Linked DNA regions of Rhinolophus ferrumequinum. The protein of the gene in region 4 interacts with the protein of the main gene of each other region in a biochemical or structural test. Links are inferred from orthologs where the notes say so. Each region holds a gene or a part of one and is shown on either strand. Other genes may lie near its edges.

Evidence for each region.
Region 1: of the proteins of AKT1 (region 4) and PTPA, one has a biochemical effect on the other in vitro, tested with the Homo sapiens proteins (2 studies listed by BioGRID). The link is inferred for Rhinolophus ferrumequinum from reciprocal best matches to the Homo sapiens genes AKT1 and PTPA.
Region 2: of the proteins of AKT1 (region 4) and AKT1S1, one has a biochemical effect on the other in vitro, tested with the Homo sapiens proteins (2 studies listed by BioGRID). The link is inferred for Rhinolophus ferrumequinum from reciprocal best matches to the Homo sapiens genes AKT1 and AKT1S1.
Region 3: of the proteins of AKT1 (region 4) and FOXO3, one has a biochemical effect on the other in vitro, tested with the Homo sapiens proteins (2 studies listed by BioGRID and IntAct). The link is inferred for Rhinolophus ferrumequinum from reciprocal best matches to the Homo sapiens genes AKT1 and FOXO3.

The regions. Positions count from the first base shown.
Region 1 is NC_046295.1:77,724,858-77,733,070, reverse strand, and holds the start of PTPA (serine/threonine-protein phosphatase 2A activator), read right to left. Parts: upstream 3,255-8,213; 5' UTR 2,995-3,254; coding exon 2,964-2,994; intron 2,890-2,963; exon of another isoform or gene 2,781-2,889; intron 505-2,780; coding exon 407-504; intron 1-406. Other genes in the region: CRAT (carnitine O-acetyltransferase), read left to right, coding at 4,056-4,082, 6,511-6,774. UniProt on the Homo sapiens protein: PPIases accelerate the folding of proteins. It catalyzes the cis-trans isomerization of proline imidic peptide bonds in oligopeptides. Acts as a regulatory subunit for serine/threonine-protein phosphatase 2A (PP2A).
Region 2 is NC_046298.1:44,904,359-44,911,852, forward strand, and holds the start of AKT1S1 (proline-rich AKT1 substrate 1), read right to left. Parts: upstream 3,275-7,494; 5' UTR 2,600-3,274; coding exon 2,547-2,599; exon of another isoform or gene 2,454-2,546; intron 1-2,453. Other genes in the region: TBC1D17 (TBC1 domain family member 17), read left to right, coding at 3,677-3,697, 4,169-4,267, 4,475-4,549. UniProt on the Homo sapiens protein: Negative regulator of the mechanistic target of rapamycin complex 1 (mTORC1), an evolutionarily conserved central nutrient sensor that stimulates anabolic reactions and macromolecule biosynthesis to promote cellular biomass generation and growth.
Region 3 is NC_046286.1:61,323,786-61,331,446, reverse strand, and holds the start of FOXO3 (forkhead box protein O3), read right to left. Parts: upstream 3,014-7,661; 5' UTR 2,884-3,013; intron 2,749-2,883; exon of another isoform or gene 2,412-2,748; intron 2,101-2,411; 5' UTR 1,949-2,100; intron 1,492-1,948; coding exon of another isoform or gene 945-1,491; exon of another isoform or gene 774-944; coding exon of another isoform or gene 571-773; exon of another isoform or gene 143-570; 5' UTR 16-142; coding exon 1-15. Other genes in the region: uncharacterized protein LOC117020678, read left to right, coding at 571-773, 945-1,491. UniProt on the Homo sapiens protein: Transcriptional activator that recognizes and binds to the DNA sequence 5'-[AG]TAAA[TC]A-3' and regulates different processes, such as apoptosis and autophagy.
Region 4 is NC_046289.1:824,339-831,466, reverse strand, and holds the start of AKT1 (RAC-alpha serine/threonine-protein kinase), read right to left. Parts: upstream 3,071-7,128; 5' UTR 2,993-3,070; intron 485-2,992; 5' UTR 393-484; coding exon 347-392; intron 1-346. UniProt on the Homo sapiens protein: AKT1 is one of 3 closely related serine/threonine-protein kinases (AKT1, AKT2 and AKT3) called the AKT kinase, and which regulate many processes including metabolism, proliferation, cell survival, growth and angiogenesis.

The DNA.
Region 1 (8,213 bases), on a different chromosome or scaffold from region 4:
TTTCATGTGATCACCTCCTCTCCCTTTGATAAATGGCTCCCGACTCTGCTGTTTCTTGAAACCAAGAATCAAAGTGACCTACTCCATCATTTAGGGCATTCACGTCCAGCCAATATAACAACAGTCAGGGGCGATGGGGTACGAGAACCAGGAGTAGAACTCTCCAGGGTTACCTGGCCCCGGCGCCCAGGGACCTTCCCACTGAAGCATCTCTGAGTGCTGGCCTGGACAGGGAGGGACCGTCACCTCCCCTGTCACCTCTCTCCCTAGCCTCTAACAGCTCTGGCTCCAAGAGCAAGAAAGATCAGGAGCTCAGAGCCCCAGTCATGTCTACAAAACACTGTCTTTGAAAAATCCCAAGTTTCTCATCCCAGTTCTGACCCTACAATGCAGACACTACTAGTACCTGAGAACGCTTCCATTTGCCCATGTCTGGAACCGTATGGATCTCCTTTTTTGGAATGATGAAGTTCTGCGTGGCTGGAGGGATATCCTCCGAGGAATCTGGACAAAGAAAATGAAAAAGGAAAGAGATAAATAAAATCCTCCCTCCAATACACACACACACACACACACACTCTTTCTTTCTCTCTCTCTCTCTCTCTCTCTCTCTCTCTCTCAAACCAAGACTACAATACCCAAGCCCTAATGTAAACCAGACAGACATGTACTCCCAGGACAGAGTATTGGCTCGTTAAACCAAACCCACTGGCCTTCTGCCGTTCCTTTCTCTGCAAGAAAAGTTAAGGTATCAATTGTTGAGGAATAAAAGTGCCAGGAGACCTGGAGACCTAAGGAGTAGGATGGAGAATCTGAGATAAGAGCAAGGCAAACCAAACCTCTACCTAATTCAAAATTCAAAAAAGGGTCCAAGAAAGAGAGCAGAAAAGCTCTCTTCCTCCTCCTCCCACCTGTTCTGCAAGCCCTGTTCCCAGGACCCAAAACTGAGAACCCCCTACTATTAGTAAATTGCTATTTTAAGATGCTATATAAAAAGTTTTGTAGGTCAGGCTGGTAACCTAACCACATTGTTTTTATGGGAAAATGTGTTCCACATTCCAAATAATCAACTTGCAAATGATCTTTGGGAACAGAGCCCTTTTGTGAGTAAGCTGGAAAGAACTATTTCCTGCAAGGGGATAGTCCTCCTGACATTGTTTCACAAGGAGGAAAACCTCCAGGCCAGGCTCTGTTGCCAGGGGAAAGGCTACCTTATAGGAAGCATTGCAACAAATCACTGATGAAACACACTCATAAATCGCCAGACCATAAAATGCTAAATAAAAAAAAAAGCCTTCAAACTCAGGACTGGGATATATGAAGTCACACCCACAGTCTCTCCAGTGTCAGATTCTGCCTCTGACAAAGGGACCAATGGACAATTGGTTCCCCTAAAACCTCTTGGTATAAGATGGAAACCTCCAGTTTTAGAGATGTTCCTAAAAAAAAAATCCAGAGAGTAAGTATAACGTGTAATACATTTGGGAGCCAGTCCACATGTACAACCTGTACCACTTTTGAAAAGGTTCCCAGTAATCCACACTGACTAACTTACCCGCCACGTCCCATGCTTCGTCCACATCATCTATGGAACACACACTACAGCTCTGTGAAGAAGGTAGAGTCGCCCCATTTTAAGAGATCAGAAAACAGGCTCACAGAGGCTGCGACTGGCCAGGCAGATTCTCTATGTCTGTAAGAGCCTCTCTTACAGACAGTCTATGTAACTCCAAAATCCAAGGTTTTCACCACTACACTGTCTGAGTTAAGTAGTTCTCTCCACTTGTCCCAAAACAGCCTGTTTCAACTTCAAAGAAGGGCCACGTCCCAGGAACCTGGATCTTCCCAGCCATAGCGAACCTCCAGAGCCTTCGTCTCTTCCAGCACCCAGCTTCCCTCCCCCACTCTATGCCCCACCACCACGTTCAAAAACATTCATCTCAGTGATAACTCTGGTTGCCTTGTATATCTCCTGATGTCATACCAAGACTTCTAAGAGAACACGCACAGAAGTTTTGTACCAAACAAATGTCAGCTCTTTGTTCATCTATTTTTTTTTGGGGGGGGGCCCTCTTTTGATCTTCAGAGTTTATGAGACCTTCCCAGGGATCACAGAATGCAAGACAAAATAGAAGGACTATCAAATGCTTTCAAACCATTACCTACGTTCGGCCAACCTATTCGCTCCCAACAGAATTTTTAAAGTTTTCTCAGCTCAAGGTGGGGGGGTTGGGGGGATGTCAACAAACAGCCTTCCCCTATACAGTTCTCTAAGCGAAGATCCTTTCCCTAGCACCTCCATCCCAGGTACTGGAGATGCACCAGGAAGCGGCCGGCCACAGTGTAAATACGAGTTACAGATGGCGATGCTCTAGAGACGCTCATCTCCTTGCACAACCAGCCTTTTTAAATTAGTGGTTTAGCGGACCGAGGCCAGTTTCTCTGTCAGTTCTCCGCCACTGGAAGCTCCGGAGGCCGCTTCCCAGAGAGAGGGGAGGGGGATGCGCGGTGGGCAGGGCATGGAGGCGGCTGGGAACGGGGCCGAGCAGGCCCAGGCCCACAGAGCACCTAAGCCCAGCATCCCTCGCGTCGTCCTCACCACATCAAGAGCTCAATTCAGCGCGTAGCCCAGACGTGGAAAAGGCCTCCCCTTCTGGCCAAGGCGCTGCCCACCCGACCCACGGGCAGCCGGGACTCCCCAAGTCGGGTGTTGCGCCCCACCCACCACCCCTTCGCAGCCCCGAGTTCTTGCCCTCCCCTCAGGAAGGTGCCGTCCTCACCACTGCTCCCGCAGCGCCCCTCAACTCGAGTTCCTCCTCCGGGCCCATCAGCTCTTGCCCGGCGAGTTCCTCCATCTCGCGATCATTCCTTTGCGGAGACCCCCCGCACCACACCTCTTCCCCGCCCCCACGCCTGCCGCCGCCCCCGCGCCCCCCACCCCGGCCGGGCCCGACGCGCCCTACCTGGCGGCGACTGCCGCTCGCCTTCAGCCATCTTCCTCCGTCAGGAGCTGGACCTCACTTTTCACCTCCGCACCCACCCTTCCTTTTCCCCGTGCTCAGAGCTTTCTGAAGAGAAATGAGCACCAGCCGGCTATAACCGAAAACCGAGAATTAAAGTCACCCCCGCGAAGACGACCGCCATGTCCGTGCGGGGCACTCAGGGAGTATGACCAGCAACGGCCGGCTCGCGGCTGCAGGGCTCACTGGGAGGCGGCGGCCATGTTGGTGCGGGGCGCCCAGCGCATGCGCACCAGGGCGGGCTAACCAACCGCCCGCCGAGCGCTGGGAACGCGGCAGACATGCTTTTGCGGGGCGGGCGAGCGAAGTTGCGCAGCCATGCTTTTGCGGGGCGGTCTCCACCTGTCATCTTTGTGCGTGGCTCTGACCCTATCCTGAGGGATGTTAGAAGACATTCTCCTGTCGAACGGTTGTGTTTTCCTACCACTATGAGAGTAGCGCTCAAGGACACCAAACGGACTGAGAGAGGTGCACACCACTGCCTCCAACAGCTTGGACGGCATTTGGAGGTGGAGAGCGAGCTGGACCGCTGCCCCGGTCTTTCCCTCTTCGCGGTTCCACCACCTCGCTGCGAGCGCAACCCGCTAACTGCACCCCCGGTTCCGCCCCGGTGCTGTGGCCCCGCCCCCGCCCCCGCCGCCACTGTGGCCCCGCCCCCGCCGCCACTCTGGCCCCGCCCCCGCCGCCACTCTGGCCCCGCCCCCGCCGCCACTCTGGCCCCGCCCCCGCCGCCACTCTGGCCCCGCCCCCGCCGCCACTCTGGCCCCGCCCTGCGCACCCTGCTAGCCGCGGGGGCTCGCCACTGGCCCTGGCCCCGCCCAGAGAGGCCTCCTTGAGCCTCCAGCCTGCTAGCCGCCAGCCCACCACCCGCCAGGCCCGGTGGGTGGGCGCTGGGCCACCTCTACTGGCCCGCGGCGGTGACTCGGCGACCTTGGCTAGGAAACTCTAGCGGGGACCCACCAACGGAGGTGGCAACGCGGACTTTGCCCAGCGCGGGGGCGGAGCGGACTGTGTGTCCACTGGCGGGGCGCAGAGATGTTGGCTTTCGCGGCCAGGACAGTGGTAAGTGAGGCCGGAGCCAGACCTGGCGGGCCCTGGACTAGGCGGGCGGGCCGGGCCAGCCACGCAGCTGCGCCGGAATAGGGAAACAGGCACATAGGCTGTTGAGGCGACAGGGCCGGGGAGGCCGCTGTCCAGCTTGGCCTGCAGCTGCTGGGGTGGGGTGGCAGGTGGGCTTCCCCGTTTGGCAGAGGAGGAGACTGAGGCTCAAGGTCAGAGGCCGGATGGAGCCCATGTCCTGTCGAGCTAAATTCTGACGACCCAGAAAAGACAGCACCCTGGCTTCAGGCAACACTCCCACCCTTAGACCGGGAGCCAAGGAGCCGGCTGACCAGGAGTGTGTCTCACTATTATTCTCTGACTCACACACCCTTCTCTGCCACACTCAGCCTGCGCCGTCTCTGCCAAGGCCAGAGCCACTTCTCCAGCCCCATCCAGTTGGTCAGCCTGCTTGGGCTTATCAAATGGCCCCTGGGTAATTGTGGGTAGCCAGAGAAACTCACTTGGAGACATCAAGCTGAGCTGCTCAGAAAGTCCTAAGAACTGGCAGGAGGTGGCAGGTTGGCAGCCCCATGCCCTCCCTCTCTGCCAATTTTTCCCCTAACCTGTTCACGTCTACCCCCCCACGCTCAGTACTCCCCAGAGGGCAGCCTAGAGCAAGAGGTGCTGCAAACCTGATTTGAGTTCCTTTCCTCTCTATTCCAAGCATACCTCTGCTTGTATCTCCCTCTGTGCAAGGAAGAGTGTTCAAACAGACACTACCAGGCACAGATAACTGAGGGTACCCGTCCGCTGGCCTCTGGACGAGAGGCTCTTCCCGGTCTTCCAGGATCCTAAGGCTCCACCTCACTCTTGACGCTGCCACCTGAGCTGTGCCCCCATCCCGCAAACAGCCTCTAGGTCATCCTCCAGGACCTGCTGGGTGGCTGATCACTTTCCTGCTGGGGAAACTGAGGCAAGGAGAGGCTTGGCTAGAATCCCCTGGATGTGCTGACTTAAATTTAATCCAATCCCAAAGAGTCCTTTGGTTTATTTTTAATGCCCAAAGTCCTCCACTCTTGGCCCCCAACTGAATGAGCCACCGCTCGAGAGAATGAGGGTTTGGCAGAAGGGTGGCCTAGAAGGGTTCCCAAGAATCTTGAAGGGAAACGGGATGGGCAGGGCTCGTAGGAGCCACTGTCCACTTAGGGTTTTTCCAGTGTCTGCTCCTTTGCACCAACCCCAATTTTCAGGACTAATTCCAGGCTTGTGGTATACTCAGCAGCCAGGCAGTTTCTGCCCTCCAGCCAAGTTTTCCTTCATCAGACCTACGCACATTCTAACAGGTGGATTTTTTAATACCTCTTGGCCTGCCTCCCTGGCTCTGGGCCCATCCAGAAAAGAAGGAGAAAGTTTTCCAGGCTTGCTCCTATCCAGTTCCCACCACCAGCCCTCTCACCCACTCCCCATTCCTCCGCTTCTGGAAGCTAGGGCAAGTGGAGCAGCTGTTCTTGCCACAGCCACAACCCCACATGCCACCACAGTCACTATAGCCATCACCACTGCCACCTCTACCTCCCCCCTGAATCTTGGCTCTTGTCTTCTCTTTCCAGCCCAGGCAAGTGGCTGCCTCTTGCTAGGTTCTGCTCACCCACTTGGTAGCACAGTTAGGCTTAGAGATCCAGCCCAAGGCAGACAGACAGGGCTCAGAACCTCAGTCCTGCCATGGAGGACGGGCAGCAGAAAGAGAAGGTATGGAACGGAGCCTCTGCCGCTTGCCTGCCTACCGCTGCCAGCAACCTTGGACCCTCTTGTCTCTTTTTCTGCCCACCTCCAGAGTCTACCAGAGTCTCTCTCTCTCTCTCTCTGCCATCTTTCACCCTCTTTGCCAGGCCACTCAGCTCTCTCTTGCCGCAGCGCCGCCTCCATGCCACTTCTGTCCCCACCCCACATTCAGGAAAAAAATCTGTGGCTTCATCCTCATCTAAAGGTTCTGTGGTCATCTGGCTCTCCCTGATTTTCTCTGCTTCACTCCTGTTTCTCAACCTGGCAAGGGTGGGAGAAAAGGAGGTGGGGACCTCTGGGAGGGCCCTCACTGCTGGCTGGCTCATCACCCCAGGGTGAGAAAGACGGGACCCTGAGCATTCAGACAGGTGAGAGGTTCCTGTCACTCTGCCATCCCCAACAGGTGCCATTCATCCTGACTTGGTTCACCTGAGCCCTGCCAAGATCAATGGCCACACCCCACCCACACCCACCCCTACCTGCATCTCCAGGCTCCTGATAGGTGGAGACACCTATAGCTTGAGGGCTGGGAAGCCAGGGCGGGCACCACCCAAGAGACCATCTCTGATCCTGGGATGGGCACATAAGTGCCCAGGGCTGCAGCGTGGGACTGGCAGGGCCTCCCAGAGCTGGCGAGAGAATGAGCAGAATGTTCTGCTGCCTGCAGGTGAAGCCCCTGGGCTTCCTCAAGCCATCCTCCTTGAGGAAAGTTTCTGGCCGCTTCAAGACGCACCAGGACTCCCTGCCCCGGCTGCCCGTGCCCCCACTCCAGCAGTCTCTGGATCATTACCTTAAGACACTGCAGCCCATCATCAGTGAGGAGGAATGGGCCCACACCAAGCAGCTGGTGGAAGAGTTTCAGACTGCGGGGGGCGTAGGAGAGCGCCTCCAGAAGGGGCTGGAGCGCAGGGCCAGGAAGATGGAGAACTGGGTGAGTGAGAACCGAGGGCACCCCGGTCCCCCACTTCCCATGGAGGGTGCGAGCATCCCACACTGTGGCCTGTTGCTGCTGCACACAGAATCTTCCAGTACAAGCTGCTCTGGGGCGTTTGCTGGTGCCACGGAGTTTCTTGAGTGCTTACTGTGTGCCTGGCAGTGAGAGAATGCTGCATGAGCAAGGTGGACACAGTCGATGGCTTCTTGGAGCTGACGTTCAAGTAGGATGGGAGAGAGGTGATTAAACAGGACACAGTGGGTGGAGGAGGTCATTTCAGGCAGTGACATTTTATAGAAATAAAAGGCAACACGAGAGAGGAGTTGAGCACAGCAGCATCTTTATTCTGAATATTCGGGGAGGCTCCCAGGGAGATGGTGGTGGTGGATCTGAGACAGACAGGGAACAGCACGGGCAAAGGCAGCAACAGCCTGGAGAGTTCAGGAACAGACAGAGGCTAGAGTGGGCTCAGTGGGAAGGGGCCACAGATGGCTTCAAGCAGGGGGTAGGTGTCCGGTGACAGATCACCCGGGTCTGTGTCTCCGTCTGTCACGCGGGTGTGTTCAGCTCATGGAAATGTGTCTACACTAATGGTCTGTGCAGTTTTCTGTGTGTGTCTTATACCTCAGCATAAAGTTCAAAATGACTGCCCTGGCCACTGGGGGGAAACGAGTGGGAGCAGGAGGCGGGTGGGGAGGCTGGTGCCATCACCCCGAGGTAGATGCTGGCAGGGGGAGGGTGGAAAGTTCTTTGGTCCAGAATCAGTTTTGATCCCAATGGTAGTTGCTGTTGGGGGGGGAGGGGGTCCTGCCCTGAAGCGACTGTGAGGGGGAAGGGGAGTATTTACCAAGAAGGGGACGACTGAGGAGAGACAGGTTTGCAGGAAAGAACCGAAGCCGGGTCCAGCCCCATAGAGTAGGAGGTGCTACGAGGAGGCAGGTGCCAGGGTGGGGGCTGCACATGGGAGGGGGGAGTCATCAGCTGGGGGGCGGCCGTACTGAGCGAGCTTCGGCCTTGGATTCTGGAATCGGGAGCTGAGAGAGTCTGAAGTCTGGCAGTTTTCCCACTGTGTTTAGCCCACAGTTCCTTCAAATACAATCTTCTGGCTGAAGGGGGAGCACCCCATCTCCACTTACAGGGTCTGCCCAGATTCTCACTGGGGGAATGCCCACATCTGCAGGGTCTCCCCTTGTCTCCCGAGGTCTGGTCAGAGGCTCTGAGATCCCTGGTAGAGGGGGCGCTCCTGGCAGAAGGGCAGTTCTACTGTCCCCAAGGGGAAGGAGTTCCTGTCCGCTCCTCTGATCTACAGAGGAGGAAACAGGCCCAGTGAGATCAAAGCACAGAGCCACACAGCACCTCTCAAGGAGGCTCCGAGCTACACAGGGGGTCTGGCTGAGAGGGGTGCTATCCTCAGGCTACCTGTCAGCAGACAGCAG
Region 2 (7,494 bases), on a different chromosome or scaffold from region 4:
GAGCCCGCCCCGGCCTCACAGCCTTCGACTTTTGAGGCCTGAGGCCGGTCAAGGTGTCCCTGCCCCCATACCTGCACCACGCATCCTCTATTTACTTGTCAGTCTTTACCTCACCCCTAGATAGGGTCAGCCCCTTCTTGTCCCATGGGCTCCAACATCTGAGTGACCCCCATTCTTGGACATCTCTGTCTGGGGAGTGCTTTCTGGATCCATCTCCCCAGCTAGTGTGGGAGCCCCTGAGTCACACCTGTTGGGTTCATCTCTGAGCCAGTGGCCTTGCCCGGTACATGGCAGGCCTCAGAGTGGGGCTGAGCGAAAAATGGTGTGCAAGCTGCTGTCTGCACCTGGACTCCACCCTGGAAGCTTTTGTCCTTCCTACAAGACTGTTCCGGCATTGCCTCTGGAAGTCTTCCCTGATGCCCCAGGATGGCGATGCCTTCCTTAGACCCACAATGCCCTGGGCTACCTCCATTTGAGCTCATGTCACTTGAGCTTCTAGCAGTTGTATCTCTGCTTCCTCTATCCGACTGTGAGCAAACCAAGGTCAGGGATCTGTGTCCCCAGGACAGGTCTATAAGCAGACAATCTGCTGGACACATCTCCTTACGAGGTGAGAAGAGCAAAGAGCACATGGGCTAGCTTCCTGCCCTGTCTCAAACCTTCTGTGTGACCTGGGCCACTCACTGGCCCTCTCTGAGCCTTTCTTCCCCCTATAAACCAGAGTGGTTGAGCCAGGGCTGCTGGGCAGTTGAGAAGCCTCCTGGAGGAAGAAGCAAGCACACCATCACTGGAGGGATTCAAACGAGGCTGTGATCCAGCTCACCGGGGTCATAGTAATTTGATTTCTATTCACAGGCCTTTTGTGACTCACAGTCATAGAAGCCAGTGCTTGCTGAGCACCTATTCTGTGCAGGGACTCTGCATCTCTCATCTCACCTCCTACCTGACCCACCAAGGTGGGAGCTGTCACCTCACAAATAAGACAACCAGAGTACAAGCCCTTGCCGCAAGCCACACGCAGTGACAACACAAACAGCACCTTTCCTGACAGACCCCATGGCAAGTTCATCCCCCACCTCCCACATGCCCGGCAGGGACTTAAGTGTGTCAACATTCTCATCACCAGCCCTGTGAGGGAGGAGCTGTTACCGCCCCATTTCACAGTTGTAACTGAGACCCAGCGAGAGTCAAGATCTTGACCAGGGTCAGACAGCTGGAGAGGAAAGCGGGAGACCTGGATCTGGCAGCCTGTTCTGAATTCCAAACGTCTTCCTACCTACCTTGTGAGGAAAGATTTATGATCACCTAGTCCAGATGGGGAAAGTGAGGCTCAAAGAGCTTAAGGCAGTGGCCCAAAGGTACACAGCTAGAAAGGGCAGAAGTGAGGCCGAAATTGCTGCCAGCCGGACTCCAAAACCAAACAGAACTGGGAGGTGCTCAAGGTCTCACAGCTCTTTGGGTCATCCCCATCTGATGAAGGAGGAAACTGAAGCTCAGGGCAAGGCAATGACTGGTCCAAGGTCGCACAGCCTGACAGTAGTAGGCCTGGGACTCTCACTTCTTTGGGACACCAGGATTAAACTCCTCTCTATCCTAGATCTTAGAGTGGCCAGAGAGTTGCAAAGAGTGAAGTGAGACTGAGTGGGAGTAAGGGTCCCCCCATCTCAGAGAGCATGGGCAAAGAGAAGGAGGGCAACTCACACAGACCTCTCTGCCAAAGCCTGGGGGCTCTCTGGAGTCAGTTACCCAAGAGGAGAGTAACCAAGATCTGGGGAGTCTCCCTTCTCTTCAGCTTCTATTGGAAGCCCTGTGTCCTCCAACGACCTGAGAAATGGAGGACCCCCTCCCCCAAATGGAGGAGTTTAAGATGAAGAAGAGAGGGAAACAATGGTGAAACCTGTCCCCCACAGGAGGGGTAAGGAGAGGTGAGTGGCCTCTTAGATGATGAAGTGAGGAAACTGACTCCAGGAAGAGGTGAGGAAAGGAAAAGTCCCCCAAGGAATGACGGATGTTAGTGAAGCCCCCTTCCAAACACCTGTCAAACTGAAAGTGCCCCGGCTCCAAGGTGGGGTGAACTGGAGGATGCACCCCGCAGCCGGGGGTGAACATCTGAGGTCTCTCCACCTCTCAGAGACCTACCCCACCTCTCCCGGGGACCAGCAAAGACCCTCTTCTCTAGAAAGAAAACAGGAAATCCTGCCCAGGTGGGGAGCATAACCGGAAGTCCCGCCTTTAGACGGTTGAGGGGCGCCCCAAGGTCCCCCAAGCAACCCTCCGACCCTATGGACACGGTCCAGTCAAAGTAAGGATCCTAATGGGTCTAGAGACAGGAAGGTAAGGCTGTCTAGGTTTTGCCTCGGGTCAGACACAACGGTTCCCGCCAGGGATCCCTTTCCAGCGCTCAGCGTACGGTCGCTGGGCGATCTCTTCCCTTTCATCTACGCAGGCCATACCCCTCTCGCTAGCGGTTCGCCCTCCCAGCGCCCCTCTCCTCCGGACCGCCAAGTCCTCCCCACACCGTGGTTCACAACGCCGCCTCCACTCACGTGCCCGTAGCCAGCATGGCCGAACCGGCGCCGTCGCCGCCCTCAAGAGACATGGCGGCGAATTGCGTCACTTCCCTGTGGTTGGCCCGCCTCCACTCTGCACACTCCGCCTCCCTTATCGGGCCGCCCGATACAAAGATGGCGGCTACAGGAGCTTCACCGGATCAGTGAGCCAACGGTGACAGCAGGGTGACGATAAGAAGGATGGGGAAATGCTTCAGTTTGTTCGGAAACAAACCGAGATCATTTCGATTTGACCCCAAGAAATATGGTCGCCTTGCACATACACATTCAGGACCACAGTAAACTAAGGCAAGCCACTTGACGTCCCTCATTTATAATCAACCTCTTCCACATAAGAAAAGCAGTGCCCGTTGATGACATGGCAGCCAGCCTGGCATCATTTGCCCTTAAGGTATATGGACTCTCCAGCCTATCCCCTTTCAGCACCAAGACTGGCAAAGATCCAACATGGCAGCCTTTCTTGCTTCGGTTTGCCCAATTTCAATATGGTGTCTCAGACCGCTTTCTTTCGACAGTGACTCATGAATTCGTCTGGGACCGCTTCGTTCCCGGGGATACTGACGGCTTCATCCCGTTAACCCGAGTTCTTCAGCGCCTCTTTTGCTGTACAGCTCCTCTCAACGTTGTTTTCCTTTCTCCGTTTCTCTTTTCCAGGACCCTGCCATCGCGCTCCGCAGAGCGATGGAACTGCCCCCCGTTGACATGGCCGCAGCTGACCCGCTTTAGTCGTGCCCTCAAGCAAAAGGGCATCTATTGGGCTTCGATGCCAGTATACAATATGGAGAAAGTAGTAGGCGTTTCGAAGCGTTTGGGTGAGGGGGTGGAGCTATTGGACCCGCCTCCTTGTTTACTTCGTGGAAAGGATGGTATCACTGCGCTTGCGCACCCTCGCTGGTCTCCACCTTTAGAGTCTGCGCCATATGACTTAAACCCTCGTGGTTCAACTTGGGCCACCCCATTCTGAAAGATGGTTACACCCACTCCTGTTCTAGAACAGGCAAAGGCACTACCACTGTCCGGGCTTGAGGGGAGTCTCCTATCCGGATATGACAGCATGTTGACCCGGAAAAGGAGGGACCCGAGACAGTGGGGCTTGGGCCGCGGCTATGGAGGGAGCCGGTTACAGGGTGAGTACTAAGTACGCACTTTCGCTTCTGTCTATATGGAACGCCCCCCCACAGTGGTCTGCTTTTCCCTCAGGTCGTGCCAGATCTCTCGGAGCCAGGCCGATCCTTAGCAAACACACCATTCCCTGGTGACGCGCTGTCACCCTTGCTTCCACTGCCCTAAGGAAGACCCATATCTTTTGGCCCCGCCCCCTGAGCTGCTGAGATATTCTTATGGACCCCGCCCCTTTTATAACACAATTCCCTACTCCTTCTCCCCTCTTTCCTTCCATCGCCCAGTATCCGGACGCCTGTCTGGTATGCAGGCTTCACTACTCGTAGTCCCATGCCCTTAGAAAATGGTTCCCCCAGGCCTTGCCCCATGGGGAATAGCTCCTCCCTGGGTCTACTCCCATTGGCTCCCTCCTGGGCCCCGCCCCTTAGGTGTCTTTCTGCTCTTGGGTCCCGCCCCTCACTGGTTCCTGTCCCCAGGTTGTGTTTGAGAAGGGAGGCGTGTACCTGCACACCAGTGCCAAGAAGCACCAGGACCCGGACTCCCTCATCGCTGGCGTCATCCGTGTTGTGGAGAAGGTGGGCTGGGATGGAACAGAGCGGGATGGAGGTGGCATCTGTAGGAGTATGGTCTGGTTGTGAGCTATGGGACCTTAGGATGATTGCGGGACTGGAGAGAGAAACGGAGCTTTGTCAGGCTGAGGGTCCAAAATGGGGAAGCAGTTTGGCAATATGGTTTGGGGAGTTAAGACGAGAGTCCTTTTAACACCGCCTTCCTTCCCTCAGGACAATGATGTCCTCCTGCACTGGGCTCCCGTAGAAGAGGCTGGAGATTCCACCCAAATCCTCTTCTCCAAGAAGGTAGGCTTCTCTTGCTCTGCCTTTCTCCACTTGCTTTTTTTCTAGGTCCAGGCAATGGAAGGCATTTGAAAAAGCTGGGTACAATCGCAGAACTACTCCTTGGGGCAGGTGTGACCCTTGCTGGTTTCCTCTAGTCTGTGAAATGGGGCTGAAGATACCCATTCACAGAAAGAAAGCAGACACCGTGAGGTTCATGGCCATGGGGACAGCTGCCCCTTTGTTTCTTGAGAGAGCCTTGCCAGGACACAGGAGGACAACTCAGCCTGTGGATTTGGGTTCCATGGGCTGTCAGCCCATAAGAACTTGAAGAGGTGTGGCATTTCCTCTGGGGCAGTCCTGCCATCATGTCCAGAAAGGGAACAGGACCTGACGAGGCAACTCACCGTTTTGCCAGTACTCGTTCCTCCCCTGGTACGGGATGTCACCCTTCTCATGATCAGTTGGCTCCTGAGGCTTCTTGTCATTGCCAGGCCCTGTGCTAGACAGTGCTGGCACCCAGATATGAGTCCAACCCAGATCTTGCCTAAGCCCTCACCCCCATTCTATTTTTGAGAAACTGAGGCATAATGAGAGGAATCCCCTTTTCCAAGGTCAGAAAAGGTAGGAGGTGTTGGAACTTCGGTTTGAACCCAGACACTCTGATTCTAGAGCTCCGCCTCTTCCTGGGGACGTAGATATTTGGGCTGGGACTCTAAAGATGAGAAGGGGGTAGGAGGGTAATTCAGGGATGTAGGAGGAAGTGTATTGCAGGGCACAGGGGGAAGGAAGTGGGATATCTCTGTAGAGGGGTTTGCTGAAAAGGTGATCCTGAAATGCCAGGCCCAGAAGCTTGGACCCTATCCTAGAGACCCCGGGGAACTATGGGAGGAGAAAGGTGTGGGTGCAGGAGGCCCTCTGGAAGGGTGGCATGTACCATGTTTCCCCGAAAATAAGATCTAGCCAGACAATCAGCTCTAATGTGTCTTTTGGAGCAAAAATTAATATAAGATCTGGTCTCATTTTACTATAATATAAGACAAGGTCTTATATAAGACCAGGTCTTACATGTATTAATTTTTGCTTCAAAAGATGCGTTAGAGCTGATTGTCCATCTAGGTCTTATTTTCTGGGAAACACGGTAGGAGATGGACCAAAGGACCAAATAGAGGGAGATTGGAGGCTGGAAGGTCATGGGGAAGGCTGATGTGATTGGCCAGGGAGAGAGGATGAAGCTTCAGCAGGGGCTGTGGGGTTTCAGATGACCTAGTCATGTACAAATGGAGACTCCAGAACACCCTCTCCCCGGCCCCAGGAGCTGGGGCAGAAGCAACCAGGATTTTGCATTTTTCACCAACCCGGGAGGCAGTCTGAGTGCCTTTCTTGAGAATATTGCTGTCCTCCTTGGCACTCGTATTTTCGAACAGAAATCCACGGAGATGGGCTTCAGAATGCACATATGCATTCACGATACATTCAGCTCCAAGGAACACAAAACTGGACCAATGACACGTTAGGCAAACAAGGTAGACCTCTCATCTCACAAGAACCCAAGGGGTAATGGGGCAGCTGGCCTTGACTGGTGACGTCAGAGCCTAGACCACTGAAGTTCTACTGTGATTGCCCTAATAGACTTTATTTATTTTTTTAACTTTTATTTATTTTAAGTGTGTTTTTCCAGGACCCATCAGCTCCAGGTCAAGTAGTTTTTTCAGTCTAGTTGTGGAGGGCACAGCTCACAGTGGCCCATGTGGGGATCAAACTGGCAACCTTGTTGTTAAGAGCACCGCGCTCTAACCAACTGAGCTAACCGGCTGCCCCCCTAGTAGTCTTTAAATGACTGCTTCAGGGTGCCAATCACATCTGTCCTCATCAGGAAAAACAAGAGATTGCCCAGAAATCCGCATCGGTTAGGAGTTGCATTTGGCTTTGTATAACAGAAATAGCAATAACCGTGGCCTATGCAAGATAGGAGACCATTTCCTTCCTATGGAAAAGCCCAGAAATCAGTAGTACAGGTTCATATATCATCAATGATCCAGTTTCCTTCCCTCTTTGCTCTGCCATCCTCTGCATGTCATATCCATCCTCAACACGTGTTCATCCTCAAGGCTGTCTCGTGGTCCAAAAAGGCTGCTGGAGCTCCAGCCTTTTGGACTGTTTTTATGCACTCTACTTACGTGTTGCAGGTTGGCTCATTAGCTCTGTTCATCATGATTACTCGAAGAAATATGCTGCTATAGCAGCTACCATCTTAAAAGTCACCATTCCTTGGGCAGAGGGAAAGAGAGCTCTAGAAGACTTCCCCTGGCAATTAAACAATCCATCCTGGAAGTGATACATCCCAGCCCCTTGGCCAGAACTAGTTGCACAGCTCCACCCAGCCAGTTCAATGAGCTGTGAGCCTGCTATGTGCCTGAGAGGCAAAGATCTGCAAATATTTGTCAGATAGTACTAATGTTAACATCAGTGAAACCTTCGAGTTCTTCCTGTCACGATATACGGAAAGCGGAAATGGCTTTGCCAGGACTGGCTTGGCAGCCTTGTGGACAAGTGAGCCTGCTAGTCCTTGGCCCTCCCCTCATGGCCCTAGTTTATTGCCACAAGCTCCAAATATGTTTTCCCTCGACAGCACCCAAAGGGTAGCCTGAACCTGCAGGTGCCTTTTTGTCAGGAATTGTCCTTCCTCAAACATCCCACACGTGTCCTCTCAGCTACCACTGGCCAGAGTTGGGTCCATAGGCTACTCACAACTACAGGGAAGGCTTGGAAAGCAAAGTATAATACGGAGAGTTCAGCTTCTCTGGTGGGGAGGGCTCTGGAAGCACAGCAGAAATGGCTGGGGGTCTTTCCAGCTTCATTGCCCTAATCATGCAGGGTTTGTTGCAGGAGTCACAAAACACTTGGTAACTTTAAGCAGCAAGGAATTAAATGCAAAGAAGTGGAGACTTACAGGATTTTATTAGCAG
Region 3 (7,661 bases), on a different chromosome or scaffold from region 4:
CCGCGCCTCTGCCATCTTCGCCGCCCGCCCGCGGCTCGGGCTCTGGCGCTCTCCTCTCCGCCCGGGCGGGGTGCGGCGGGGGAGGGACGGGGACGCCGCGAAGGCTCGGGGTGCCGGGCGCCGCTGCCGCTACTGCCGCCGCCTGGGAGGCACGAACGGAGAGAAAAAAGGAGTTGGTTACCCCGGGGTAGAGCCCAGCGCTCGGCTAGTGCTCACCCGCCGCCGCCGCCGCCGCCGCTTCCCGACCGCACCGCGCCCGCCTCCCAGGAGCAGGCAGACCTGGAGACGTGCGTCCCGCGAACCTGGCGCAGCAGACGCCGCCCCCTGGCCAGGCCGCCGGGTAGAGACGGGCGAATCGACGGGCTCGCACGGGGCAGCCCCCTCCCCCCGCCGACGCAGCCGCTGCTGCCGCCAGATCTGCAGGTCTCTCCTGGGCTAGGTGGCTGGGCGGGGACGAAGGGGGAGGGGCGGGGGAGGGGCGCGGGCCGCGCCTTTAAAGCGGGTTGCGGCCAGAGCTGGCGCAGCGGAGCCGCGGTCCGGGCCAGAAGCGGGGCGAGCGTGCGTTTGTTTATGTTTCGCTCGGGCCCGCTCAAGTGCTTCCCGCCGCGGCGCCGCCAAAGTCTGTGGCGTCTTCAGCTCTTCTCCCCGTCCGCGGCCCTGCCGCCTCCACGCACCCTTGCCATCCCCCCTCCCAACGGAGGGTCCGAACCCGGGGACGGCGCGGGCAGCTCCCTTCTCCCCTCTTCGCCCGCGGGCCGGGAGGGCGAACGTGGGTACGAGCGCAGACGGGCCCTTGTCACTTCCAGAAAAAAGAAAAGACGGGAAGAAGCGGGGCAAGCAGCTGGCGGATGTTCGCAAAGGGTCGAGCCGAGCAGGAACGGCCAGTTTGGGGTTTTGTGCGGTTTATTTTCTCACGGACGTTGTGCCCTCCACCCCCTTCCCAGGAAAGAACCGGAGGGTGGGGGCAAGTCGGAACATAAATCTTCCAACAGGTCGGGAAGCGCCAAGTCTCCCGAGCCGCCAGAAAACCCGGACCAGCACGTTCATCACCTCCTTGCTCCCGCTGCTGCCATCTTGACAGTTTTCCCCCCTTCACTCAAGTCCTTTAAAAACACTAGCGGGAGAGAAGGGGGCGCGCACACTGAGTCACGGGGAAGGAAAAGGGAAGCGCCTGGCCCAGCTCGGAAGCAGATCCGGAGTCACCGGGAAGGCGGCCGCCCCGCTGCACAGCTCCGGCGCCTACCTCGGTTCCTTCCCTTCAGGGACGAGGGGGGAGGACGCACAATCCCGCGCGGGCCCGGGGCACGGCGAGGAGGGGGCGTGCAACCTCCGCGAAGGAGAGGCGCTCCGGCTGCCGCCGCAGCCCGCCAGAGGAACCGCCTGTCAGCCTGCGCGCCGCCGCCTTCCACATTCCTCCTCCTCCCTTCCACGAGCAGGGCGGCCGCTGCAGAAGCACAAAGTTATAGACACACGCAGGGTGCCTCAACCTAAGCTGACGGCGGGCGGGCGGGCGGGCGGATCCCCGCCCAGAGGGAGGGCTGGGCGCCGGGCCCGGGTGTGCTGGTGTCGGGGTGTGTGTGCGTGCGCTCGCGCGCGCGCCTGCGCGACTCGGCTCCGCGGGGCTGCGGGTGTGGGTGTCAGGGCGCGCGCTGCAGCCCCGGACTCGGCGGGCTCCCTCAACTGTCCCCGCCGGGTTCCTCTCTCCCTAGAGTCTCAACGACAACAAAGCGCGGTGAGGGCCCCGGAGAAGAGGGAGGGGGGAGCGCAGAGCCTCACACGCTCCACGAGCGCAGTCGCATGGCCTCTCTAAGTAGCCTGGCTCCCGGGGTCCCCGGCAAGCGTGTCCGTCCGCCAGGCTCTGGACCCGCCCTGGTGTCGGGTTCCCCATTAGAACCGGACACCAGGTAACACGCGAGATAAGATGCTGACCGCAGATGGCAAGGGTTACCTCGGCGTGGAAATGCAGACAAGCGAAGATGTTGGTGCCTTCAGGACTTCGATAAGCTGATGCCCTCAGATTTGATCAGGCACTAAGAGGTTTGCACTGAGTCTCTTACCCAGGACGCTCGACCGCAGTCGTGTTTCACTTTTCATGGCAAACTAGGGGAGAAATGTAACACCGGAAAAAGCAAATTATTCACATTCCTAAACGCAAGAGCAGATTTTGAACAGCTGTGAATGGGAAATAATTTGATTCTAATTTGTAAATGACGGCAAACGTCTATTTGTGCATTCTTAAGAAAAACTCCTTTAGGTTTAGAAAAACATCTTTAGAAGTCTGTATCCAATGATCAGATGCTAAATCATTTGTGTACTAAGAATGCACACTACATGCAACACGCACACCAAAACTCCACTTTTATCAATATCTTTCTTTTTTTCCTGAAATCCTTCCAAGTCACTGGAGATACCTTAGAGTCTAGAGCGGGCTCGGCAACACTCGGATACACAAAAAGGTACAACCCAGCGTACGCAGAAGTCCGCCCACCCGGCCGGCTCCAGGCTCCGGGCTTTGCGCAGGGCCCGTCACTCCAGTGACGCGCGGCCCCGCCCCTGCACCAAGCTAGTTCGACGCGTACAAACAGATGATGTCATTGTATCCACACGCGCGTGACCCGGGAGCTCTGCGCCGCGTCGCCATTCGCTGCGCTGCTCACACGTAAAGACACGCCGAGAGCTGACTGGCCGCGGCCACTAGTCTCCAGGCCCCAGACGCCCCTCTCCGCCCCCGCCCCCCTGCAAATAATAAACAATCGAGTAAAATTGTAAGGACGAGAGGGAGGAGGGGAAAAACCAGAAACCAATCCTTCGCGCGCTTAAGGAGGGAGAGTTAATAGGAGGAGGACGTGAGAAGGCAGGGGTGGTGAGAGAGAGGGAGCCAACCTAGGGCGATGGGTCCCGCCGAGATGAGGTGGCGTCGAGGGAGGAAAGTTGGAGAGCACTCTGCGGGGCGCGCCTGGTAATGCGGGGCGCTCTAGGGCCCAGCAGTGGCGGAGCTCGAGGCTCGGGGGCGGTGCGCGCCCCCCGAGGGGGAGGAGCCTGGGCAGCGCTGTAGCGGCGCGGGCGGAGCTGGCAGACACGTGCGGGAGGAGGGCGGGAGCGCGCCGCACAGGCTCGCCCAGGACGCGCGGCACCGCCAACCGCGCGCGCTTGTTTACCAGCGCACGTGGGTGTTACTTTCAAATGGAATGTTGTGCTGGCTGCGCGGCGGAGTGGCTGGCGCTTGGGGCCGCCGGAGCTGGCTGGGGGACGCGGCGGGGCCCGCTCCACGGCTTCCCGTGGCGCTGCTCCTAGGCCAGCGAGGCTGTTCCCACTGCGGGCTTCCAGTGCAGTCGGCGGCTCTGGCCGGGAAGCCTCATTGCGAGTTTCGCGCTCTGCCCGAGCCTCATGATGAGGTGTTCCCGCCGCGGAACACTGCCTTCTTTAAGCCCGGGCTCGGCTCCCTCACTCGCATTCAGAAAATAAAGCCACCTGCTTCTCTTCCACCTGGAGGCAGTGCCAGGCCAGGCTGTGCGGCCGCCAGTTCCTGAGCAGATTTGAGACGCTCACATACTCAATGGCACACAACATCCTGGCCGCGGGGTGGAACGGGGTTTGTGCCCTCGTTCCCTTGTTCCTCATGCTCCCAGCCATATGTGCCCGTCTCCTCGGCTTACAGCTCTGCCCACGTTCAAATGAGCTTCTGCTACTTGGGGTTGTCTTTGTAAGGGGTTCTCTGGGGAAGGAGTCTCGGACGCTTCCTGGGGGTTGCTCCTCTGCATGTGGCTCCTTTCCATGCAGCTCCTCTGCTTTCATTGTGGGCCTGTCCGGGTGAGAAGCCCTGAGTTTGCATTTGGTTTATGGCCTGGCAGGACGGACCTTAATGTACAAGACAACTCTCAGCTTCAAGTGCCCATGGAGGGCGGGGTGAGGGGGGAGCTAGCCCATATTACTCTGAGTATGGTGTTCAGCTTTGCACCAATAACCGAAAGCTAGGTCACCCAGGGCTTTGCACCCTGATACCTCATAAAATCCAAAGAACTCTCAGCTGCTTCTTTTTAATACCTAAACAAACTGTAAAAGAAGTCCACCCCTTTTCTTCTCTAAATCTAAGCAATCTTTTGTCATTAAAGTGAAGATGTGGAAAGAATGTGTTTACACTGGCTGGGCTCTTGGTCATTAGATTTTTACTAAAAACATGATGTTGAGTGTCTATTTTCAGAATGCATTGCCCAAGGGCATTCCAAAAAACTTGGAGGAGTTAAAGATTCAGTAGATTAATTGAGTTCCTTGTGACCCTTTTGGTGAAGAATGGGGGGCAGGGACATGATACAGCCATTTCAAAGAGTTTACAGTCTTAGTTGGGGAGAATAAGACAGTATTTTTAAAGTTCAGTATTTCAAGTTTACAGTACAAGGCAAATACAAGAGGTCGTACATATAGTGTTGGGTAAGTTTCAAATGACTTGAGGATCAAAAGTTCAAATGGCAGTGACTATAAACATTCACCTTGGTAAATGTGCATCTTACCCAAAGAATTTACCCTTGTAATTTGTCCCTATGGCAAAACTTTGAAAAGAGGTTGAATCTCAGTGATTGTTCTCTTTCAGCCTGAAATTGTTTTGATCTTAAAGGTCTCCTTGGTCCTTTTCCATTTCTTCCTCCCACCTTTATTTCTCTCAACTTTTTCATATAGGAAAGCTGAGTAAGTTATGGTTGTTGAGGTAGAATTTTTGGTCAAAACTTTCCCCACTTCTTGTAATACTGTTTATTTCTACATGAGTTTTTTTTAAAAATTATTTCTACACGATTTAAGGTGAAAATCGTCCACTCCGTTTTGTAAATTCAGTCACTAGAGGAACAAAAATTTTTTTAGTGTTTCACCTGAACAAGCTGAGTAGATTCACCACTTCAAACATGTAGTTCTGAGGGGAGTGGTAGTAGATGCCAGGGCTCTGCCTCTGAGGGCGTCACACTCAGCACTTGTGTCCCTGCCCAGTCCTTGCACCTAGGTCAGCTCCATACTCCCTCTGATCCCAAAACCCTAACACTGGGGACTGAGCTCACTGCCTGTCAGCAAAGTGCTCATTTCCCTCTTGGGTTCGCTTCTACATCCATTTCAACAAGTAAGCCCGGAAACGCAAATACAGTATAAGCCTCCAAACAAATACATGACTCAGCTGGAAAGAAAGGATCCCCAATATTCAGGTCTAGAGCTGCCCCCTTTCCTTTGTCTGACACCCTCATTAGTTCCTTCTTCTGACTCCCCACTCATCAGCAAACTACTTACATGAAAAACATTTACTGAACACTCGAGCTTTGGCTTGTCTTTCAGGATTTCATTCCAGGCAGGTTTCATCACCACCCTCTCAAGAGGTTCTGGGGCTCCTGTCTTCTCTCTTTCTCTTTGCCTCCTTTAGGTGCTATATATTCTGGCAGAGCCTTGTGGGGAGGAAGAAATTTTCCTCTACCTTTCTAGGTTCTTTCAGCTGGTCTAATAGTTAAATCTACCTGAGACAGATTAACAAGAGAAAATAACCAAATTTAATTAACATATGTATGGGAAGGAAGGGGCAGAAGTTTCTTGTGAGCCCATAGGGTCTCCATTGCCTTCAACTCAAAATAATTCACATGGCACAGCAGCTTGAGGAAGCCTGTTCTGAACCCATTTCAGCGTCCCCTAGGTCATGACAGTGACTGCCCTGTGGTTCATTTGGAGGGCAACTCTGTATGTTTACAGGGAGAAAAAAGTAGGGGATCCAAAAAAGGTTGAAGATTGACCTGAGAAGGAATTGCATAATTAAGAGAAAGTGGTTAGGAATTTCTGTTTTCGTGTTATGAGCTAATGATGATAGCTAACTTTTATTTGTCACTTAATATATTCCAGTCCCTGAATTAAACACTTTATTTGCAGTATTTAAGTCTCACAAAGACCTTAGGAGGTAGGCACTGTCAACTTAAGAACATCCAAGTCTGTAGAGACTTTTATTTATAAGAGTTTACTTGAGCCAAACTGATGACATATGCCAGGGGGCAAGATCTCAAATGATCTGGAGAACAACAGTTTTGTCGCTTCTTTTATGCATTTGAAATTAAGAAGGGAATATAAGGAAGATAACATGGAGTTGGAAGAAAGCAAGGCCGGGTTTGGATTACAGGATAGTTAACAGATTATGTGCTTTCTTGAGGGTGGCTATAGCTTATTTCAAAGGTGTGTTAACCTAGTTCCACAAAAACAATGGACAGGGCTGGCTTAAGGCAAAGGTAAACTTTTTACTAAAAAGTTACATGCCTGGGGCGTGACTTCCCACCATGATCTGAGGAATTTATGATGAGATCATCCTGTGAGATTACTTTCCATAGAACCCTTTTTTTGGTCCACAGTCCAGTAGTGCTGGCATGGGGGTTAAGAATTCAGGTTCTCAGGTTAAGTCTTGTTAAGTGTGGCTAGCACCTGTGAGGCAGTCTCCACACTTCAGTCTATTTCTGAAAGTCAAGGGGACATTAACCCTTTCGCAGGGCCCTACATCCCTGTGTGGCACTCGTGACACGAGTGGGGAAGAAAGTCCTGGCACACAGATTCAGATAAAGTAATAGCTTTATTTGGGAGCCAGTGTCCCTCCAGAGGCAGTGCTCTGGTAAGCACAGAAGGTTATACAGAATAGAATTTAATAACGAACCAAGTCCCAGAGTCAATCGAGGTGAAGTTTCCTGGTCTGGGAGAGGTGATTGGGCCACGACGGGTCTGAGGCGAGCTGGTCTTGCGAGGAAGAACTTCGGAGAGTCCCGGAGTATCGCGGCTTGGACCTTGTAGAGGGTCTTAGCCGGAGCGCCCAGTCAGACTTCTCACGGCATTGCTCTGGAGTTCTGCTTTAATCCTCTTCCTTGCACTTGTTTACTTCGTAGGTGATAACCAGAAGTGGTTTGCCAGGAGTTGTTTACCTCTTAGGTGAAGGTGTTTATCAATTTTGTTATACTCAGTTTCACACAAAAACATAAACGTGTTTACTTTCATGTATATACTCTAAACATAAACATGTTTACTTTCACTTTGATCAGTCTCACACATGTGCGGCCATAGTCCTGTCCCTACTCGTTTTGCAAACCTCAATCCAACATATATAATACATTTTATATGCTCTATACATTAAGCCATATTTAGACCAGGAGCAGAAACCTTATCTTAGAAGCCGTCTTGTCTTGATCCCGTCTTGCTTTATCTCCTGGGGGCCTGTGAGCAGCGGGCCTCGGGGTCCGATGGCAACCTGGGGCCAGGGTGTGCAGCTGGAGGGCTTCCTCACGCCCTGAAACCCTTTGTCAACGAAAACCCCCTGAAGCATTGAAGGAAGAACAGCCTCGTTTACCCCTCCTATAAAACTCCGTACCTCTCTTTGCTTGGGGAGATTATGGTCTTTACTAGCCTGACCTCCAGCAGCCCAAGACACGCCAAATAGATTCTAATAGACCAATCTTGGTCTCCTGCGACTCATTCCTCCCGCCGTGCCTCCGCCCGCCATGCCTAACACGTGTGATCTTACCAGTTGTGAGACCCTGGTTATTATTTAACCACTGAGCCTCACTTCCTCATTCATAAAATGAGAATAATACCTTCTAGAATTGTTGGAAGCATGGAGTTAAATGAGATTATAAATCTAAAGCATTTAGAATTAGAATACTAGGGAG
Region 4 (7,128 bases):
GAGCTAGGCCTTGGACCAGCCCCAGCGTCCTTGCTGCCTTCCAGGAAAGTGGGGAGGGAGGCAGCAGCAGCTCTCCCTGCCAACCAGGCCCAGCCAGGCGGTCACTCCACCGCCAGCCAGACAGGCTACAGGCCTCGGGCCTCATGTCCCCACCCAGGGGACACACAAGGCCATGCCCTGCACACCGTGGGAGACACTGGGCCCTGGAGGCTCACCTGGGCAGGTCTGGGAGCCCAAGGGAGGCCCCTCCCATCCAGCAGGCCACCAAAGCACCTGCCACCTGAAGGAAGCCTGTGGGCCAGCTCAGGCCGCCCCGGCTCCAGGCCCCGCCCCCAGGGGCACTGACCTCTTTTGTGCAGCCAGCCCTCTTTCACGATGGCCACGTCGGTCATGCTGTGCGCTGCTGCGGGCCGAGGCGGCCCAGGCGTCACTCACGCTCCTCTCGCAGTAGGGTCTCCCGGAGCCCAGCCAGCACCCACAGCCTCTGGAAGAAGCAAAGGGAAGTGTGAGGCTGTGTCTAGCTTAGGGGCCACTCCTCCGACCTGGTGATGAGCCCAGGAGGGTCGTCCCACCTGGGGCCTCAGCCCGGGTGCACCTTCCCGTGTGGCCTGCTCCCCTCAGCCCTGAGTCACTGCCACCCCTCACTTTCTTCCCACCACGGCACCTAATAAAAGGCCCTCAGAGCTCCCTGTCCCTCTCACCTAGCCCATTCCCACTCCCCCTGGCTTTTGTACAAATCACTCCATCCCCAAAAGGCCCTCCCAGTGTACCCCAGCCTCCCTAACCAGCCAGCCCGGCAGGCAACCCCCTGCAGGCAGCCCGACTGCTTCAGGGCACACCACTCAACCTCCCCAGGCTCCTGGTGAGGGCGCCCTGTTCTCCATCCAGTCTTCCCACCCATAGGCTCCTCCTCCCTGCCCCAGACTGGGAGAGACATTCAAACAGGAAGAAGGCAGCACCAGAAGTAAGGGCGGCTGGCGTAAATGGGCAGAGCCCGCCAGGGTGACCTGAACCCCTCCCCCGGCCCCTCCTAAACCACGGTGCCCCTGCGGGCCTGAATCTGGTTCATTCATTTGGCCAGTGTAGATCAGTCACCTCTGGTTTGCCAGGCTCAGCACTGGGCACTGGTGACAAAGGGGTTCAGACGGGCCCGTCTATAAGGAGTACCCAGTCCAGGGTGGTTACAGGTCTGTAATTAGAGCATCCAAGAGGCAAACAATGGGGGGCGCTGTACACACACAGCGGTCCTGGCACCCGCCCGCAATGGCCCACCAGTGGCCCTCTCTTAAGTAGACACTTTGGCCATTCATCTTGCATGACCCTCCCCATGGCTCCCCTGCTGGATAAACTCCTACACATCCCTCAAAACCCAGTGCTCACATCACCCGTTCTGGGCATCCCAGTATTCTGCTACCCTCCAGATGGGCAATCGGAGGGCAGGCCCTAAGAGACTCCAGTCTGGGACACCCGGGCCAGGCAGGGAGCCCTGAGAACCACTGGAATGGATCCCAATATGGGTCTTCCCACAGCCACGAAGATGGTCTCCCACAGATCACCTCACCGGCCTCTTGAGGCAGGGGCTGGGCACCCAGAGAAGGTTGCTGTGCATTGATGGTCTGAGGCTAAATTTAGGAGGGTGGTTAGACCCCACTCACTGCCTGTGTGTGATGCCAGGACAGGGATGACACACTTTGCCTAAGAAAGCAAGTGCCGAAGTGCTCAGCAGGCCCATGGGCAGCAGCGGGAAGATATGAGGGTGTCAGGATTGGGCTCTGAGCCCCAGCACAGTGGGCACCGGGGGCTCTGGTGACACGGAGTGGGCGTGGCCTGGAGACAGAGGGCTGGACTCCGAGGCCTCTGGATGTCCCCCTACCCTACCCCCACCCAGGCCTGAGAAGGGCCTGCTGCTGATAGAGTCAGACAGCTGTCGACAGCCCATGTGTAAAAATACATCTGTACACACACACACACACACACACACACACACACAGCCCAACACCCGGGCTGCCTCTCTGCACAGGACTGGCAGGACCAAGGGGACCTGTGTCCTGCTGCCCGGTACTGAGTGCCTTCACCAGACACTACGCGACTGTTGTCATTACCAAAGCCACAACTTCTTAAAAAGTAGTCTGTGCTCCGAAAGGAAACCCTCCTTCTGCCTCCCAACATTGGTTTGTAAACTGTATGTTTCAGCTGGGTGGGGGGGGGCAGGGAACCAAGCTGCAGGGCCTTCACTCCCACCAGGGGCTCAGAGCAGTCAGGGGTGGCCTGGAGGCAGGCCAGGGGCCCAGGAGTGAAGGAGGAGGCCCTGTGGCCGGAGATCACAGGCCCATGCCCCCACTCTGTCCACCAGGGCAGTACTCTGAAACCAGTCCCACCCACTGAGCTCACCATCTGCCCCCACCCTCCAATCTGGGGACCAAGCCCTAGCTGCCCTCCAGACCCCAGCCTCTAGGATGGGTGGGCAGCACCTCCACAGCCCACTCAGGTCAGGAAGCAGTTTCAGGGCCCACGAGGGATAGGAGTCCTTTGTGGACTGGCCTGGGCCCCTCGCCACCAGGGACAACTTTTTGTCTATGGGAAGATGAGGTCTCCTTCCAAGAGCCCACCCACAAACTGGAAGGAGGGCTGGGGCGAGCCTTCTCCTAAGGCCCCTTAGCCTCCTGTGCTCCGGGCAGCGCTGGCCAGGCGCCCAGGGAGCGCCCGGGGAGCCCCCGACGCAGAGATGCCCCCGTCCGGGCCCGGCCGCGCCCCTCCGCCCCAGCCTGGGCCTCGCCGGCCGGCGGGCCACTTCTCCAAGGTCATGAGGGAGGCCGGGACCGGCGGCCCGCACCCGTAGCCCGCGCCCTCCCCGCCCAGGCCGCGCTCGGCCACTTCCTGCTCCCGCGCCTCCATTCCGGCCGCGCCGCCCGCGCCCCGGCCCGGCCGGCCGGGAACAAAGCGGCGGAGCGGGGAGGAAATCCGGGCCCCGGCGGCGGCGGGCGGGACTCACCGGGCGCCGCGTCCGGGCGAGCGCGGGCCTAGCCGGGCCGCGGCCTCCGGCGCCCGCCGCTCCGCATCCCCGCGGGCCGGGCCGGGGGCGGGCTGGGGCGGCGCGGGCCGGCGGCGGGCGCTGTCCGGCGGGCCTCGCGCCGCGGGCCCGGTGCTCGTGCGCGGCCGCGTATCGCGTCCTCCGGTGCCTGCTGCGCGCGCGCTGGGCCGGCCGCCGCCGCTCCGTCCCGCCGCCGCCGCCGGCCCGCCCCGTCCCCGCCCCGCGCGCCCCGCCCGGCCGCCCGCCCACATCCGCCTCCGCGGCCCTGCGCCCCCACCCGGGCTCAGAGGGCGGGGGCCGGGGCTGGGCCCGCCCGCCCAGCGCCCACTGCTCTGCCAGTCCCCGGGCACGCCCTCTCTGGCCTCAGTTTCCCGGTTTGTCCGGTGAACCGCACTTCTCGGCCTCTCTGTGCGGCGACGGGGACGAATGAGGGCTTCTGTCTCCATGGGATGGGGGTGGGATGGGATGTAGGTTAGTTTGATATCAGAATGTGCTGTGACCCAAGTGGGTAGCACCCTACTGGGTCCAGGGAGAGAGGCGCCAAGATTGTCCTGAAAGACCCAATCAGAGGTCCCTGCCCCACCGGTTCAGGAGGCTGGGGAGGGCAGGTTGGAGGTGGGCCTGGAAGGCTGGGCCATCGGGGACGTGGGGACTGATGAGGGCAAGCCAGGCCCTGGAGAGACAGGGGTTCTGAGCCCTCCCTCCTTGGCAGGGGGCTTCCAGAAACTTCCCCTCCCCCAGAAGGAAGATGCTGACACGTGGCGGCTACAAAGTGGATGGGGACTTCTTCCCACGGTGACAGAGGGAAAAGAGGGCACAGGAACCAGTGGAGGGGCATCCACCTGGCCTGGACTGCCCTCTCTGAGCTGGGAGCACATACCCAAAGCGGGAGCAGGTTTGGGTGCAGGCTCAAGAGAAGGGTCTTGACAGCAGAGGCCGCCCAAGCCCCTCCCTGTTGTCTCAGTGGGCCCTGGGCACCCACAGTCCACTGGGGGGCAGCTAAGGGACCAGAGGCAGAGGGAGTCTAGCACCCTCCTCCTACAGATTCCCAGGACACTGCAGACTGTGCTCCACCCTGGAGCCCTCCCTGGCCCTGGCCCTCCACGGGAGCCTCAGGTTCCTACAGTTGCCCCTCCCCCCAGCCCTGAGGCCTCCAAGTTGATAGTAATCCTTCTGTGAAATGAAGACCACTGTGAGCTATCTTCCTGGGGTGGTATGTTTGTTTTTGCTTTTTTTTTGGGGGGGGGGACATTTTTGTTCTTCATCCAGGGTCAGAGTTCAGCCTGAGTGTATAGACACTTTATCTGGGTCAGAAGCAGGTGCAGCCCGGCTGAACCCCCAGGACAGCGTCTACAGCGGAAACTGGGGCTCTGTCCCAGCCTCTCAGGCTGACTGAGAGAAGGATGCTTCTCAGGGAAGGACTCTCTCCCCTGCTCAGGGGACACCCGCTCCTTAGAAAGGGGCCCCAGTTCCATACATCTCCCTTTGGCCCTTGTGTCCCCACCCCAGCACAGTTGTCTCAGTTTTTACTGTGTACCCCCAGGCAGGGCCCTGCCTCCAGGGGCCAAGTGACAGACCCAGCCCGTCTGTGCTGCTTGGGCCAGATCCCTGACCTAAGGGTACCCCCAGATGTCTGACATCTCTCCATCGCTCACCCCACAAATCCTCCCATGGGTGCCTGGGGCCTCCTCTGGGACTGTCCCACCGACATACTGCTCTCCCAGGTGGGGTTTCCATACCCACACCCCATCCTGGATTCAGCAATGCTTTGGAGAAGGCAGAAGATGGGAGGAGAATGGTGAGGTGTCAGCGAGTGGCGACTGGGGGACCAGGAAGGTGCCTTCTCATGGAAGACGTGGCGACTCCCCAGGCTCCTCTCCGGCCTGCTGATCCGCATCTTGAACAGGAGGCTGCGCTGAGGTGGTCCAAAGCCCCCGTCTCCAGGGGCCTCTCCACATGCTCCGTCCGGAGCTCTGGCGCACAGTGGGTACCCGGGACCCTCTGCGAGCCCTGCACCCACCCTGTCTGTGCAGCACCCAGTCCTGTCTTGGCCTCTGTGTGAGCCTGCCCTGTGACTGGCGTATCCCTGTGGGCAGGACCAGCCCCCTCCTCCACTGGACTCCAGGAGGGAAAGCTCCTGGAGGGAGCTCCTCTCCCCAAGAACACTCCTCTCCCACCCCCCAAACAGAATGGCAAGGAGAGCACGAGCCCTGTTGGCCAGCCCTGGCCACTGCTGGAACCGCTGGGGAGCCCCTTGGCCAGATGTTTCCAACAAAAACTGCTGCACCGGCCCCAGGGAGGGCAGCTGCCTGATCCCTCCCTGAGTACAGGGGCCTCCAGCCCTGTCACCTTCTGCAGCTGCCGGCCATCGGGCAGGACTCCTGGGCCAGTGCCCCCGGCTGCCTAGTCTGGGCAGCAGCTGCAGGGCGGGGCCTCAAGGCAGCTCCCAAGCCAGATGGCCGCCTGGCTGACTGCATCCAGGGAGGCTCTGCCTGCACCACTGCGACACCTCCTGTCATCCCTGTGCCTGAGACCTTGCTGGGCCAGATAGGGGACCCAAGGGCCATGTGGTGGCCAGCTCCAGAGTGCCATTTTGGGGCTGCCTAGGACAGTCCCTTCTCGGGGTGCGGCAGGGCAGGAGGGCTTAACTCAGACCTTGTAACTGGAGAGGCACAGAGGGCCTCTCTCCCACGGTCCCCTGCCCCAGGGATGTTTCTCCTCCCTGGCCCATCCTTAACTTGCTGGCCTCCCAGGCCCAGCCCCAGGCTCTCGCCCGCAGTGTCCTCGCCTGCTTTGGTCCCTGTCTGTGCCCCACAACTTGTGTCAGGTGTCCAAGGAGTGCTTTGTCCCACCAGCCAGGCAGGGCAAGCAGGGCACGCTGCCCACCCCAGGGCCTCACGCCACCCAGAGCCCTGCCTTCGCGGGCTCAGGGGCCAAGCCTGGGGGCACAGCTGGGCAACGGGCAGCAGTCGGAATCGACTGCTGTGGCACTCAGGGCAGCAGTGGCACTCTTGTGGGTGTCCTCACAGGAGCCATGCACTCCCTTCAGACACTTACTGAAACCCCACTGGTGGCGGGACCCGTGTCACAGTATGGTCACATCACACGGGCAGGGCTGTGAAGCAGGAGAAGGCTGTGAGAGAGAAACGAGGCCTTGGGGGGGCTTAGCTGGGTGGTGATGATGGACCACTGGGGGTGCCCCGCTGGAACAGACAGCAATGGGGACGGCCGGAGGAGGGCTCTCTGGGGAGGGGCCTGAGTGGCCAGTGAATGGCCTGGGGTCTCCCTGTGCCAGGCCCTGCAGTCATTCTTCTCATTTTGCAGATGAGGATATTAAGGTTCAAGGAGATCAAGCGTCGTTATCAAGGTTGGGAGGGGGCAGGGCGGGGCTCTGAAGCCGCCAGATGGAGGGGGGGGCAATACCCTCTGGGCTCCCAGGGACCTCATTTGAATTCAGTTCCCTCTGCAGGGGGAGGGCCTGGAGGCAGGGGCGTGGCCCTCCTCAAGGGTCCCCAGATGGATGGGCCTTGGGAGCCAGGGCAGTCTCAGTGGCCAAGTACAGTGAGAGTCCAGGGTTCCGAGCGGCAGTTGCTGGATTTAGGAAATAAAAATGCAGGATGTCCAGTCAAATTTGAATATCAGACAAACAAGGAATAATTTTTTAGTGGAAGAATGTGCCTCTCCTTCCCACAGACAGCAGATCTAACTGCAGTGGCCCCAGGGCCTCTGGGGGCTCCTCAGCCCCCCACCCCATCCTACCCGCCCACAGCGCTGAACAGGACTCTGTTCTCACGGAGGGCTCGCCCTCCTCTGGGGCATCAAGGAAAATGGCTGGAGGGCTCCCTGTTCCCTCTGCCCACGGATACCTGGCCGACTGGGGTCCCATCCTTTGTGACCCAGCCCCTCCTCCAGCACCTCCCCAACCCCTACTTAAGGCCTCCTTTCCACCCCCGCTCCTGGCTGGGGCTCCTCCTCCCCTGCTCACCTTCCATTTAGGGGCTGCTGGTCAGTACCCTGGCAATTCTGGGGACTGCAGAATTCGAACCTTGGTTCAGCGACTTGCTGCCTGCAGTCACCTTACCTAAAGTGCCCCACCC